2 linked regions of the Macaca fascicularis genome follow. The protein of the gene in region 2 interacts with the protein of the main gene of each other region in a biochemical or structural test. Links are inferred from orthologs where the notes say so. Each region holds a gene or a part of one and is shown on either strand. Other genes may lie near its edges.

The links.
Region 1: the proteins of COPA (region 2) and COPE form a complex in vitro, tested with the Homo sapiens proteins (3 studies listed by BioGRID, with this or other methods). The link is inferred for Macaca fascicularis from reciprocal best matches to the Homo sapiens genes COPA and COPE.

What each region holds. Positions count from the first base shown.
Region 1 is NC_088393.1:19,302,548-19,305,492, forward strand, and holds the end of COPE (coatomer subunit epsilon), read right to left. Parts: intron 1,426-2,945; coding exon 1,357-1,425; intron 926-1,356; coding exon 851-925; intron 705-850; coding exon 657-704; 3' UTR 501-656; downstream 1-500. UniProt on the Homo sapiens protein: The coatomer is a cytosolic protein complex that binds to dilysine motifs and reversibly associates with Golgi non-clathrin-coated vesicles, which further mediate biosynthetic protein transport from the ER, via the Golgi up to the trans Golgi network.
Region 2 is NC_088375.1:100,765,883-100,769,382, forward strand, and holds part of COPA (coatomer subunit alpha), read left to right. Parts: intron 1-622; coding exon 623-700; intron 701-818; coding exon 819-887; intron 888-1,426; coding exon 1,427-1,563; intron 1,564-1,849; coding exon 1,850-2,036; intron 2,037-2,118; coding exon 2,119-2,229; intron 2,230-2,552; coding exon 2,553-2,714; intron 2,715-3,370; coding exon 3,371-3,500. UniProt on the Homo sapiens protein: The coatomer is a cytosolic protein complex that binds to dilysine motifs and reversibly associates with Golgi non-clathrin-coated vesicles, which further mediate biosynthetic protein transport from the ER, via the Golgi up to the trans Golgi network.

The DNA.
Region 1 (2,945 bases), on a different chromosome or scaffold from region 2:
CCTATGGTGCAGCCGCCTCTCATCGCAGCTGGTTGCTTGGCCCCGGGGCCCCGGCCACAGCAGGGCTCTGCCTTGGAGGAGGGTTTCCTGGGGTTAATGCTGACCCCGCAGGGCCCCTCCGGCTTTGATGAGCTGAGGCCTGAGTGCTTCCTGCCCTGGCTCCCGCTACCTCCAGACCACTCAGGGGTTCTCATTTTGAATCTTGGTGCCCCTCATGATAGTGGCATGACCGCTCTGTGCCTCAGTTTCCCCCGATGCCAACCTGGGCTGCTCAGTGGCCTCTCGGGGCCAGGGTGAAGTGTGGGGACAGGGCTGTGCTGCCTCTGGCTTGGCAGGAGCAGGTTGTGGCTGTGTGAGGGGCGGGATGGGGGTCTGCACAGCTGCTGCTCGTCACAGACCCTGGTCTCCGGGAACAGCCCTGGGGGCCAGTGCCCCGGGACTCTCCCTGAGCGTCAGCCCCCACACCCCCCAGCAAAGTGGCCAGAGCACATCCTCAGGTGGGAACACGCTGGCATTGAGATATTTATTCACAGATGGGAGTGCTGGGGGCGGGCTCCTGCCCCCAGAGGGGATGTGGGGTGTGTGCCAGGCGGGGAGGGCTGCAGGGCTCCTGGCCTCTGTCCTGGCTTCGTGGTCCTGACAGCTCTGGGCCAGCCTCAGGCGCTGGGAGCGTACTGTAGCACCAGCCTGTCAAAGTCGTTCTCCTTCAGCAAGACACATGGCGACACAGGGTGGGGGCGGGGTGTGGGGAGACGGGTGGAGGGAGAGAGAGAGGGCACATGTGAGCCCAGGCTGAGCTCCAGGCGCCCTCTGGCCTGGCTCTCAGGGACAGGCCACCCCTGCCACTCACCTTGGCCTGGTACTCCTTGATGAAGGGATGGGACCTGTGGGCGTCCTTCAGCTGGGACAGGTATCGGTTTGTCACCTGCAGGGGAGGCAGGAAGGCAGGTGAGTCGAACGTGGGGACCCCACGGTGGCTCTGACCTGCAGCACGGGGTGGATGGGGGTGAGAGCCACAATACCCCAGGGGGCTCCTCATCCTGCCTTGGGACTGGGCTGATCTCAGAGAACCTTCAGGGTGGGGGTGGAGGGATGGGTCGGCCCCTGACAAGGCGCTGGCACGGAGCTGGCCTCTGTACGTGGTAGGGAATGTACCGTGGGTTCAGGGGAGCAGGTTGGGCAGGGCCCCAGGTGAGGATGGGTTGAGGGGGCGCAGGGTTTGTGAGGGAGGCAGGCTGCGGTGGGCACACTGTGTGCAGAGCTTTCCCAGAAGCCTAGGGATTAGGGCCTGGATCCCAGGATGGGGTCCCAGGGTCGGGATATTAGGGTTGGCCTGGAGCCCTGGGGGCCACTTACCTCAGGGGGTTTGCCCAGGTGCTGGGACAGGACAATGAGGTTGACCAGTGTCTCCGGGTAGCCACTGTCCTGGAGACACAGGCAGACACAGGCAGGCAGGGTCAGCCACTCCAGCCCCCATGCCTGCCCGTCACCCCCACCTTGGGCAGGACCACACAAGGTCACCTCCTCAGAAGTGGGGTGGGATCGACACTGCCAGAGTCCCCCTGCCCACTGCTCTGCAAGGTGATCTCAGATGATACGGTGCCAAGGGGCCAGCCACCTCACTGAGCCTCAGTTTCCCCATCTGTGGTCCAGCCTGGGGCGTGACCCCTCGTTTGTAGAGGGAAGGGTATATTTGTCTCATACATCTCAAAGCAATGGGGCCCAGGCCCAGATGGCCTCAACTCCTCCTGCACAATGAACCCTGAGGCCATGGGCGGACCTGCCACGCCTCTGGCTCCCAAGGAGCCTTGAAGGAAACCTCGGCAGGGGACATTGCCTGACCCACTCACTCTAGGCTCCCGGCACACAGGAGCCTACGAAACACCTAGGCCAGGAGACCCAGCCAGAGCCCCGGTGTCTGCTTGGAGCACAGATGCACCAGCCAGGATGGGCCCAGAGCCCAGCCTGCCCACAGCGGCCGATGGCAGGGCACCTTTTTGGAGAGCGAACTTTTCTGAGCCTCAGTCTCCACCACGAAGGGGGACACCAGCTTGTGCTCACAGGAGCAGCCATGAGTTGGCTCCAAAGGTAAGTGGGGGGACCTGAGTGCCTCCCAAAACTCAGCAAGAATGCAGGGTAACCACAGCCACAGGGAGGCCACCAGGGCCAACGGGCACGGACAGCCAGTCCCAGGTGGTGTTTCAGCAGACAAGGACACAAGGGAGTCATCTAACTGGTGAGTCACGGAATGCGTCACCTGAGAGGTGTAACAAAAGCCCCCAGAGGATGTGGCCATGAACACAGAACACGCATCCAAGTGTTCTCAGGTGGCAGTGAGGGGCAGGGTGGTGGAGGAAGGCGCCAGTCTCGCCCCTGGGGCAGCGAGGGCCACACAGCCTGTCTGAGATGCTGAGTTCCTGACCAGCCCTGACTGCTCAGAGCTAAAGATGGACGCTGCCCAGGAGGAGCAGCACCCAGCCTGGGATGGGGCCAGCCTGACACCCCTTGGCCTGCCCTGCTCTGCAAACAACTTTCTGATAACTCAGCCCCTGGAAAGTCAGACAGGGAGGAGGGCTTCACCAGTGTTTGTCAGTAGATTAAAACTGTTTCTCAGCCAGGCACAGTGGCACACGTCTATCATCCCAGCACTTTAGGAGGCCAAGGAGGGTAAGAATTGCTTGAGCCCAGGAGTTCAAGACTAACCTGCACAACACAGTGAGACCCCATTTCTAACCAAAAATACAACAATTAGCCATGTGTGGTGGCATACCCTGTTTCAAAAAACAAACAAATAGGCCGGGCGCGGTGGCTCAAGCCTGTAATCCCAGCACTTTGGGAGGCCGAGACGGGCGGATCACAAGGCCAGGAGATCGAGAGACGATCCCGGCTAACACGGTGAAACCCCGTCTCTACTAAAAAATACAAAAAAACTAGCCAGGCGAGGT
Region 2 (3,500 bases):
GATATGCTCAAAGAGGAGAGGATGTAGGACTTATCTCTAATCTGATGCTTAACTCCCATTGAAAGAAAGAAGAATGAGGTAATCAGCGTTCTTCCAGCAGCAGCTTATGAGAAGGCAGCACCTGGAGTTTTTGATAAGTCATTTTGTCACTGGTGAGGTGGCTCCTCTTTTGGCAGTCTTCTCCCACAACTATCACCCCTCTTCCTCAGTGGAGGCAGGGAACAATGTAAATGGTTGTGTTCTAGATTCAACAGAACAAAGTGCTTGAATGGCCTAAAAAATTACTCAATTTGGCTGGGCACGGTGGCTCATGCCTGTAATCCTAGCACTTTAAGAGGCTGAGCCAGGCAGATCGCTTGAACTCAGGAGTTGGAGAACAGCCTGGGCAACATGGCAAAACCCCATCTCTACAAAAAAAATACAAAAATTAGCCAGGTGTGGTGACTTGTGCCTGTGGTTCCAGCTACTCGGAAGGCTGAGGTTGGAGGATTGCTTGAGCATGGAAGGCAGAGGTTGCAGTATGCCGAGATCATGCCTCTGTACTCCAGTCTAGGTGACAGAGTGTGACCCTGTCTCAAAAAAAAAAAAATTACTCAATACTCCATTTTTGGTTTTCCCCTAGGATATATCCCCTGGGGCAGCTGGTGGGGCTGAAGATGGTTTCTTTGTGCCCCCAACCAAGGGAACAAGTCCAACTCAGGTAAGCAGGAAGAAACCAGCAGGGATGAGTGGCTAATACTCGATTAGTGTATAACAGGTGTTGGAGAATAGAGAAGAACAAAGTTTCACTTGGCTTGGGTTTTCTTGTTTCTTGTTAGATCTGGTGTAATAACTCTCAGCTTCCAGTTGATCACATCCTGGCAGGCTCTTTCGAAACAGCCATGCGGGTAAGTAACCTTGGCTTTTCCTCTTGAATGTGCCTAGCCCAGGGTCCCAGGGAGATGGTTGACTCATTTTAATCAAGTGAAATTATCCTACCCGCAAGGGCAAAGGTGTATATTTTTCATGAAAACTCTTTGTTAAGTACACTTGACTTTCTGTTATCTGCCTTCCACTTGGCCTAGTAATCTTTTAGGGCAGATCCTTCAGTCATCTTCCACCCATTTATAGCTTGCTTTCTGGCTCACATCAGTGAGATAAGTACCCCTTCCCAAGCAGAGGTCTGTTTTGAACACTAAGCCAGTATTGTTATAACAACAACAATAATGATAACATTGCAATAACCGCTAACGTTTATTTAATGTTCACTATGTGCCAGGCACTATCCTAAACACTTTAATAGGTATTATTAAATGAGGTAGATCTTACAATTAAATGTATTTTACTGATGAGGAAACGTGAACAGAGAAGTTAATTACCTTGCCCAAGGAAAAGTAGCTTTTTATGCAGCAGGGCCAAAATCCTTGTTTCTTTCCTTCTGTTCCAGCTCCTTCATGACCAAGTAGGGGTAATCCAGTTTGGCCCCTACAAGCAACTGTTCCTACAGACATATGCCCGAGGCCGCACAACCTATCAGGCTCTGCCCTGCCTACCCCCCATGTATGGATATCCTAATCGCAACTGGTAAGGCTCTTCGCTCTTTGCTTTCATCTGTTCCAAGTTATGGTCGATATTTCAGATGGTAGCCTCAGTGACATAGTCAGAATTCTTTCAGAGCTAGGGTTTTCCAGTAGAAAAAAAGATCTTTGGCTTGTTACTCTATGGGGTTTGGTTTACATCTGCTGTCTTTGACAGCAGCTACTTTTGACAGGAGACAGGAGGGTAGCTATGAGGATGTTTGCCAGAAAAGGAAATTGGATCCTAGTTGGCTACTGACTATCCCGTCTTCTTCCTACTTTTCCCTTTCCAGGAAGGATGCAGGGCTGAAGAATGGTGTACCAGCTGTGGGCCTGAAGCTTAATGACCTCATCCAACGGTTGCAGCTGTGCTACCAGCTCACCACAGTTGGCAAATTTGAGGAGGCTGTGGAAAAATTCCGTTCCATCCTTCTCAGTGTGCCACTTCTTGTTGTGGACAATAAACAAGAGATTGCAGAGGTAAGAGGGTCTAGCCACTGTCCCAGTTCTGGGCACTCCCACATTCTTGTCTCTGTATCCTGACCACCTGCCTCCTCTACAGGCCCAGCAGCTCATCACCATTTGCCGTGAGTACATTGTGGGTTTGTCCATGGAGATAGAAAGGAAGAAGCTGCCCAAAGAGACTCTAGAACAGCAGAAGCGCATATGTGAGGTAAGATCTATAGGACCCTGAGTACAACAGAGACGTCCTTCCCTTCACCCTTCACTAGGTTTGAATTCTTTTAATTTCAAACCCAGATCTGAGTGGGGACGAAGAGAAATTTAGGCCCTTCATTTCTATGAGGGGAGGATACATTTCTTCACCCTACTTCCTCATCTCACCAGTCCTCCATACCTAGGAGGCAGAAGACCTCTCTGCTTTATAACCCATCCTGTTGTGTTGTGTTGTGTTTTCTGTGCATGTGTAGCAGCTTAGAAATGACCTCTACCAGGTGTAGCATCAACCTGGCATGTGTTCCTCTTTCTGTCCACCAGATGGCAGCCTATTTCACCCACTCAAACCTGCAGCCTGTGCACATGATCCTGGTGCTGCGTACAGCCCTCAATCTCTTCTTCAAGCTCAAGAACTTCAAGACAGCTGCCACCTTTGCTCGGCGCCTACTAGAACTCGGGCCCAAGCCTGAGGTGGCGCAACAGGTAGATGGAGCTCCTTCAGTGACCATAGGGAAGCCAGATCAACTCTTACATGGAGGGAACAGACCAAGGTCCTTGCCTCTGAAACAAAGCAGTAAATAACAACATTCAACAAAAAGAGCCAACAGAATGCTACCTTCTGTTTACTTCCTGACTTGGTGCTTCCTTTTTTCCTGGAAAATTAATAGTTTATTGAGACATGACAATTGTCTAAGAGTGCTGTGCAACCTAGAATAGCTCCACTGCACCTGAAAGTAACCCCAGTCCTGTCCTTAAGCTCCAGATATCCCATCACAACCACCACAAAGCTTCACATACACATCTCATTACTTGTGTCCTCCAAATGCATTCTTTTTGGGTGATGGAAGTCTGTTTTAACCCTTTCTAGGACCTGATCCTGATAATCTCCAGAGTTGGTGGAGGAATGTGGGTCTAGATTATGGAGCCACTTTTGTATTAAGGAGGGGAAAGTTTGATACAATAGGAATGGTGATTGTTAACCCTTCACATACATCCAGTACAGAGGTTGGGACCTCTTTTCACCTAGTACAGTTGTATCTCACATCAACGGAACTACCAAACCATGGTGATGGGATCCTTTTGAGGTGTTGTCTGCAGCTTTCCATCCTCCTAAATAAAATACTCCTTCCTTTTCCTAGACCCGAAAAATCCTGTCTGCCTGTGAGAAGAATCCCGCAGATGCCTATCAGCTCAATTATGACATGCACAACCCCTTTGACATCTGTGCTGCATCATATCGGCCCATCTACCGTGGAAAGCCAGTGGAAA